Arabidopsis thaliana: one gene and its partner. The protein of the gene in region 1 interacts with the protein of each later gene in a pairwise test. Each region holds a gene or a part of one and is shown in the gene's direction. Other genes may lie near its edges.

What was found. Proteins that work in one complex are often made in the same cells at the same time.
Region 2: the proteins of SK16 (region 1) and AT5G03970 interact in a two-hybrid assay, tested with the Arabidopsis thaliana proteins (2 studies listed by BioGRID).

The regions. Positions count from the first base shown.
Region 1 is NC_003071.7:962,351-966,170, forward strand, and holds SK16 (SKP1-like 16), read left to right. Parts: upstream 1-1,863; 5' UTR 1,864-1,881; coding exon 1,882-2,394; 3' UTR 2,395-2,551; downstream 2,552-3,820. Other genes in the region: AT2G03180 (uncharacterized protein), read left to right, coding at 414-776. UniProt on the Arabidopsis thaliana protein: Involved in ubiquitination and subsequent proteasomal degradation of target proteins. Together with CUL1, RBX1 and a F-box protein, it forms a SCF E3 ubiquitin ligase complex. The functional specificity of this complex depends on the type of F-box protein.
Region 2 is NC_003076.8:1,070,302-1,075,591, reverse strand, and holds AT5G03970 (F-box associated ubiquitination effector family protein), read left to right. Parts: upstream 1-2,102; 5' UTR 2,103-2,220; intron 2,221-2,606; 5' UTR 2,607-2,614; coding exon 2,615-3,871; 3' UTR 3,872-4,086; downstream 4,087-5,290. Other genes in the region: AT5G03980 (SGNH hydrolase-type esterase superfamily protein), read left to right, coding at 303-446, 560-1,387.

The DNA.
Region 1 (3,820 bases):
GGTTGATAATTGAGAGGTTAAGATTTTCTTAGAGCGATTTATTATTTTATGATATTAAAATATACGGACGATATACTGAAAGAAAATTCATGCGAGAGGATGTTAATATGCAAATTAATACTATTCAGTTGAATTTTGCCATGCAATCTTTTTGGTCGTAAATTTTGTTGAAAACTTATCCAATCTCATATGAAGCGTCCCAAGGCCCATATCAACACTTATTACGTAGAAAACATCATAAAGCGAGAGAAAAAGAGAGAGAGGCAGAGAGATAGGAGCGTATGGGCTTTCTTTTTTGTTTTGTCAAACAACTTTAATTTACTTAAAACCTAAAAGAGGGATGTTCATACAAATAGAAACTGAAAAAAACACAAAAGGAGGAGAGATAATGGCTCCATGAGTTTTTCAAAAAGATGCTCATCTTTAAAGAGTTTGCAAAGATTAAAAAATCTGTTGAAGCAAAAATTGGGTTCGCCCATAAAGACAGACTTCACAAATTCCTCGACCACCATGTGGTTATAGATGGCTCGAGCGAACAACGCATACAAGCTTTTAAGAAAACGTTCCACGGAAGAAGCTGCCGGATAAGAGAGATTGTCGAAGATTCGGTAACTACTTCTCCTTGGAGATGCAGTCAAAATGCCGTTATTCTTCAAACTTTGAAAGGTTTGCAAATTGATCAAGAGCTTGTCGAGCCTAAAGAGTTGCTCACCTTAAGAATTACTAAAGATTGCTTTATAATCCTAGAAAAACCACCAATCGCAGATGTTGTGTAATGTCATATACATGAGCTCAGAATTCAGAGGAAATGGATTTAAAGGATTGAGAAAACTTCGGTAATCATCGTTCCGTAAAGACGGGCTCATAATGCTGAATTTCTTCAAGCTTTTGGTTTCATGAATTAATTTCCGTAGAGAAGGAGCGTATGGCTTAGTTCTAGAGAACTTGTTCTTGTCTTTGATGCCTAAAGCAAAAAAAAAAATTAGCCCATTAACAAGTAATAGAAAAAAAAATACACAAAAACTGTAGACTATATCGAACTCGTCTAATTGAAAGGCAACATAACCACTGTGCCAGAAAAACTTTTTGGAAATTGATGCCCTCTAAATCATTAATACCGTTTGGCGCCTAAAGCCCATGCTTCACCAGCTTTAGCTCAGGGCCGGCCCTGGACATCATAGTGCTCCTGGTAACTCGTTTCTGTTTTGGAGTACCCCGGTAAAATTAAGTTATGAGTCTGCCACTACATAACTGCCATAATAAAAAAGTCAAAACATCTAAACCACATTTAATTACTTATATAAACAATATTCCTCAGAATTAGATTGTTTAAATTAATCTAATAAAGTTATTGACAAAAAAAAAATTGTTGCTAAAATGCTAAATGTTGAAAAAGTAAGTATCTTAGAACAAAGTACATGTCATCAAATTAATTATTTCTAAAACTTATAAATAAAAAAATCTCACTATATTATACTATATTTAATATTTACATTGAGTTGATAAGAGATACCAAAAATTAAATTTTGCTTTTAGGTGAAATCCTATCTATAATGGTTAATATTTTTAAAATATTAAATTACAATATTAGTATAACTTATATAAAATCTAATCAATATAATTTTATTAGCATGTGTGTAGTATATGTATGGGTCAAATATTAAAAGAAAATATAAGAGCCTAACAATTAATTATATAGTAGGATTTTGTTATATTTATTTTTCCTTACTATATTTCCTAAATTAAAGATTTGACCCACTCTCAACTCATTATAAAAAGAGAGACATTATTTCATAGCTTCATCAATTTTATTCAACAATTTCTCTCATTTCATTTCTTCCATAAAATCTCTCAAAAATCAACAAAACAACAAAACAAACAATGTCTTCGAACAAGATTGTGTTGACTAGCTCGGATGATGAATCGTTCGAGGTTGAGGAAGCGGTGGCTCGTAAATTGAAGGTCATAGCACACATGATCGATGACGACTGCGCCGATAAAGCAATCCCGCTTGAAAACGTCACCGGAAATATCCTCGCTTTGGTTATCGAGTATTGCAAGAAACACGTACTTGATGATGTTGATGATAGTGATGATTCTACTGAAGCAACAAGCGAAAATGTAAACGAGGAAGCCAAGAACGAGCTCAGGACTTGGGACGCAGAGTTCATGAAAGAATTTGATATGGAAACAGTCATGAAACTCATTCTCGCTGTTAATTATCTCAACGTCCAAGATCTTCTTGGTCTCACTTGCCAGACCGTTGCAGATCACATGAAAGATATGTCGCCAGAGGAAGTTCGAGAACTCTTTAACATTGAGAATGATTACACACCTGAAGAAGAAGACGCGATTCGTAAGGAAAACGCTTGGGCTTTTGAGGATCTAAAGTAAAACCATAAAGTTCCGTTTTCTAAGTGTTGATCTCGATGTTCTTTAATCTTTGTTGATTGCATTCGTTTCTTTGAATTCATGGTTTGTGGTTTCCTTTTGTATTTCATCATGTTATAATGTTTAACAATATTTACTTATATATGCCAATGTTAATTAATTCTTTCCAACCAAAAAGCCTCTGGCGATTCTGAATTCTTTCGCCAGCGGAACAGTATAAAATATAGCGTACATCGCCACCGTTTGATGAAGACTTGGGCACTGGAAATTTATCAAAATACATGTGCCCTAGGGCTTCTCTCTGTTAAAAAATTAAACATTTACGATTTCTTTTAGCCACGTAGTGAAAATTCATAATGAAATGATAATTCAATGCATACCTACACATATCGCATATGTATTATTTTACATTAAATGTAATAAATTAAATCATTTCATATTTTCTAAATAATGTAATGGTATTTTTCTATCATAGAAAGTTATTTGTGAAAAGTATGAAAGCATTTAATTACATTTAATGTAAATTAATACATATGGGATTTGCACCCAAAATTAAAATAAAATAAAATAATAATAATCCATATGGGATATGTGGCTATGTATGCATGCATTGAACTATAATTTTCATTATCTACATTTATAAATTAGTTTTAAGAGAGGCTTCACAATGGGTCGATTTAGCAAGAATATATAAATTATTACGGGCCCTTTAAAGCCCATAATATACTAAACATCCCGTGAGTGTCAATTGTCAAAGGCTAAAAGCTAATTCAAGCAATCACATTTTAGTCTAATCCTTTTCATGTTCCGAGATATCGACCAAAGAACATTCGACACCAAATCCACATATGCTCTAAAGTTCTATATGAGAGAGAAATATACAATCGTAGAAGGAACAGATCTAAAATACTATCTAAAATACAATATATCTTTTTTCCTTCTAAAAACATATGTTAAAATTTAGTGAATCAGTATAAGATAATAAGATACATCAATATATTTCATGGTTTTCAAACAATTTGATTTAAGAAAGAAAAAAATAGGTGAGATGGTTAGGGCTTAATTATGTTTGTTAGGCGACGTGTTTATAATTCCAAATTGATAAAAATTGCATGACGCATGCATTTCATCTCTTTCTCTCTCGAGTTGCTTGGAAGTTGAGCCAACCCCTTTACTTTGCTTCCAAGTTTAATAATTTTAATAATAATTAGTGTTCATTATTGTCAATAATTCTAATATTGAATCATCATATCAATGTCTATATCAAAGTTGTTCATGGTGGAACAAGACCTTCCAAAACAAATTACCACTCTTGTTACGTAAATATTAATATATATATATTAATTAGAAGATTCTCCAATCTATGGTTAACAATTTATATAGATTTTAATAATCAAAAATAGACTACTTTTTGTTACAAAATGTTACC
Region 2 (5,290 bases), on another chromosome or scaffold:
GGAATTTTCGATACGTTGCCTCGTTTTGCCTGATTCTAGTTGATTAAATATTAAATAATAATGTTTTTTAATAATATAAAATAAAATAAAAATTCTGACATATTTTCTCAGATCTCGTTCTATCAAATATTTTTCTTGAATTTATCACTATCAATAATTATTATTGAATATATCTATCTAAATCACAGACTAACTAGGAGCTAGATTATGAAACTCTATATATACACACACATAGGCAACAAATTCTCTCATCCTTCTCTTTGTCTAAAACCAACAAACAAATCTCTCAAACTTCTCTAACAATGTCTACGACCAAAGCATTATCGCTTCTTGTGTTTATACTCTTCGTGTCCCTTGTTCATTCATCGGATCAATGTCCTATCAACTCTATCTACCAATTCGGTGACTCCATCTCCGACACTGGAAACTTAATCCGCAACGGCCCTGTTGGAGCCAGATCTTCTCACGCCGCTAATTATCCATACGGTCAAACATACTTTCACCAAGCCACCGGTCGTCTATCTAACGGACTGCTAATGATCGATTACTTGGCACGCAGGCTTCATCTCCCACTCCTAAACCCTTACCTCAACGGGAACACAACGTCTTTGTTAACTTCGGAGTTTCCGGAAGCACAGCACTCAACAGCTCTTTCTTCTCCGAGAGAAATCTCCACGTTCCGGCAACAAACACTCCTCTCTCCATGCAGCTTGCTTGGTTCAAGGGTCATCTACGTTCCACGTGTCACGGCTCTTCTTCGGATTGCTTGAAGCACTCTCTTTTCATGGTCGGTGAGATAGGAGGCAACGACTACAACTACGGTTTCTTCCAAGGCAAACCAATGGAAGAAATCAGAAGCTACATCCCTCACGTGGTTGGAGCCATCACAGCCGCAGCTAGAGAGGTGATCCGTGCTGGTGCGGTTAACGTGGTCGTCCCGGGAAACTTTCCAGTGGGATGTTTTCCGATTTACTTGACGTCTTTTCCCGTGAAAGATACAAAAGATTACGACGACAACGGTTGCTTGACGCATCTCAACGAATTCGCAATGGATCACAATAACCAACTCCAAGAAGCTATAGCTTCTTTGAGAAAAGAGTTTCCAGACGTGGCTATAGTATACGGAGATTACTACAATGCGTTTCAATACGTTCTACGAAGTGAAAGATTCGACAAGAGTGTAGCTTTGAAATCGTGTTGCGGGACCGGTGGAGCTTACAACTACGACGGAAAGAGGCCATACGGAGCAGTGGGAGTTCCGGTGTGTCAGAATCCACACAAGTTCATAAGTTGGGACGGAGTGCACTTGACTCAAAAGGCTTATAGATTCATGTCTAAGTTCTTGAACAATCAGATTCTTTCACAGATCAAGTGTACTAGGGCTTAATTACGAGCGTTATTTTTTAGTCCCTCCTCGATTTTTTGTTAAGTTATAAATCTCTACTATTTGTAATAATATCTTACATCCTTAGATTTTATTGATTTTTTAAGATATGTTTTTTTTTTTTTTGAACAACAGATTTTTTAAAATATGTTAGCATCCTTTTTTACTTATGAAGATCATATAAATCGTAAGTCCAATTTCTACTAGACAATCTTATTTTAAATGCATACCTAACTGCAACCTCAAATTTCTCAATTGCATTAACAAAAGTGACAAATGACATTCCTAGAACAAAAGAAAACAATTATGTTCATGCCACAAAAGAGAAAAAAAAAAAAAGAACAATATTTCAGAATTTAATCTCGAATCGAATATAGAGAAAAACACAATTTGAAAGAAAGAAAAATCTTCGTCGCTTGTCAAAAAAAAAAAAAAACGAAATCTGTCCCGTAGTTTATAATTTTGACCGTTCGATTATCCCTTAAATCTTGTCCGTCGTCAGATGAAACCAGAGAGGGGATGTCAGAAAAAAAAAGGTTAAAAAGCAAATAGCATAACCGGTTCACATTTATTGTAGTAACAAATTGACCTAAACCCTAACGAAATCGTACCAAACATAAAAATAATGTAAATCAAATTAAAGCAATTCATCCAATCAGAATTCTGGATTTCCATCAATCCGAACCAAATTTAAACTGAACTGAACCCGGTTCAATCGCAACGAGATCCGGTTAGGAGAAAGTACTTGTCCCTTTATATTGTAGCATTGTATAACTTTAGTCTTGTGAAGAAACGTTTGCATCCCTTCTCTGCGTTCAGCGTTCGTCGTCACCAAGGTTCTTCTCTCTCCTCTTTTAGCTCTTGTATCTTCCAATTTCTTGACGTAATGCTAAGTCTTTTTTTCTACCTTAGTGATGAGTCTCGCTCTGTAATCGTTTCCTGTTCTTAAAAATCGTAACTTTGAAGCTTAGGGTTTCAGAAAAATTTCTGCGAAATTCTCCGACTTTTGTTCTTGTTCCTCATGGGTGTAACCAAAATAACATCTTTTGTGATTTTGCATGCGTTTTGGTAGATTCTCTTTGGAGATTTTAGGTTATTGAGTTTTCTCAATCCACTAGATACTTGAAATTGATTTGTGTTTCTTTGTAGCTTGTGGGTCTTTTGATTCTGTGTGGTTGTTTTGATTGTGTTGGATTTCTATTACTGATGAACAAAGAAACAGTGTCTGCAATGTCTTGTTCTGCCAGGTTAAAAACCAATTTGGGGATGACTTCTGCTCTGAGTACTCATGAGGTTCTTAACAGTAATGATACTATGTGTGAGATTCTTATCCTGCTTCCACCAGAAACGATATACAAGCTGATTTTGGTGTCCAAGAGATGGCTTGAGATTATAGCCAGCCCTTGCTTCCGTCACACTTACTTAGCCAAGTGGAAACCTAATTTTGAACTCATTGGCTTCTTCGTCTGCAGCTCAATGTACCTTGGAAGACGCATAGATGGAACTCGTCGCCCTCGCGCTGAGCCATCTCTTCCTTTGCTCTCAACCAGCAGTATTGGTGATGAAATTGAATCCTCTGGTATTCTGAAAAAGCTTGGATACTACATCGACTCTGCAGATGGTCTTCTACTCTGCGGCCGCCATCCAAAAGCTTACTACTTGTGGGATCCGAGTACACAGAAGCAGCAGCAACTTCCACGTCCCAGAGTTCATTTCGAAGAACTTTGTATGTCTTTGATTTCTGAGGATAGTCCTGATCAAGGGTTTAGCTACAAGGTGGTCCGGGCAGAGTGTGTAGCCTTTCCTGTTAACAGTACAAAGGTGAAGGTAGAGACTTTTTCCTCAAAAACTTCTACGTGGAGCTACTCAGAGCTTATTTGTCTCGAGCCTCTATCTCTCAGCCCGTGGACTCCAGGGAGAGTGATTAAAGGCGTTGTTTATTGGCATGCTAGAGGAGGTAAAATTGCCATATATGACTCAAACAGTGAGGAGAAACGGATTGATGTGATAAAGCTTCCGAAAACATATGACTATGATGAACAGGTTCTGGGAGAAACCGATGATGGGTCTTTACAATACGGATGGAGCAATAAGTCGGTAATGGAGGTATGGAAGCTTGAAAAGGTAGGCAATGTGCTTGAATGGAACCTGCTGTTTAAGGTGAATTTCAAGGCGATGTGGAAAATGAACCAAGCGGTAGCTACAAGATTCAGCACTTGGACTAAAGAAACGCAGCTGCTTGCGCTCTTCAATCAGAAGTCGGACTTGGTGTACATCAGATGTGATACACAAATCTTCATCTATCACACAGAGACTAAAAGGGTCGAAGTAGTTCAGTACCAAGGACGAAAATCGACACTCGTTTGGGATTTCAACAAAGTGGTGCCTTACTTTCGACGTACCTGGCCTTGTTCTCCTCTGTTTGAAAACAATGCCATGATGATCGACACTCCTCAATGCAACGCCTCTTCCGCAGGAAGTAACTAAGTAGTTTATGCTTTTAATCAGTTTATGTATGTAGGCTATTCAACTATCTTTTATGTTTTGATGCTGAAGGTTTTTGGTTTTGGCCATTGATGAACCTCTCATGGTTTTGATGTATTCTCTCATGGGTGTCATTAAAGACTCTGCCTTTTTGCATTTGCGTTTTGGATCTGCGTTTTGTGGTTGACTCCGTTTGTAGCTAATTTATGATAATTTACACATAGAACAAATGGTTCAATCTAACAAATTATAAAACAGATCAATTTATTTACACAGATAATCGATGTCACTTGTCTACATAGTTCTTAAGTTATAGGTTGATCCAAATAGTTTCAATATTATAAGTTGAATTAATGGGTCACTTGGAGAATGTCCACATTCTTTGAAATGTAATGACGAATGTTTGTTCTTTCAATTTTCTAAAAAACGAATAAACATAATAATAATTATAAAGTCATGTAGTGATCTAAGAAACAGATCATAGTTTCTCTCTATGTAATCTTAGGTACAGATAATAACTTTATGATCTCATTATTGGTACATTGATTTTTTTTCTATTTTCTTTTTGCTTGCAACCTTTTTCTTCCCTTTTATCTTTTTATGAATGATGAAAATGTTATGTTAAGATATTTGTAAAGATCATTGATTTGAATAAATAGAGACCCGTCTAAATATGCACCAACAATTCTGACTTCAAGTGAGATTTACATTTCAAAATTATGCATTATGCCTAGAAAAAAGATGATCACTAATATTGTTGGATTTGAAGGGAAAAAGAAGCTGGTGTTAAAAGAGTGGTGGGACATTATGACAACTCAAAAGGATCTTTAACTGTGTTGAGAAACTCCAATGCATTATTTATAAAGGCCTAAACAAAACCTATAGGTCGCTCTCTATATATGTTCATATCATATATATGGCTCACATGGCTCATCATTGTTTCAATGACATGATAACTAAAGTTGTAATGATCTACTCAACAACGAATTTTGGTCTATATGGACCACCACCATCAACTAATTTTTATTGATATTCATCCGATTACGAGATTTGTGAATCTTTGATAAATTTAGCTCATTATTATGAAACTTTTAAAGTAATAAATATGTGCATGTTTTGAGTTTCTACCAAGTTTGGGTGTTAAAACTCAGTTTCATAATTAAAACTCCGTTACTGCTATTTCGTATAATGTCATTTTAGTGAGTTATAAACATTTAGTGACTAATACTTTTTAGCATTCTCAACAAGACAACAATCACCCCTAACTACAAGAAAATGAAACCCAAAATAGTCTTTGATTAAAAATCTCCAAAGTTTGATGTATCTAATTTTATTTCTCTATTAATGATTAAACTGTACTATCACTCATTGTCGTCATTATTCTTTTCTCCCAAAGCTATAATAATTTACGAGTCCAATGTA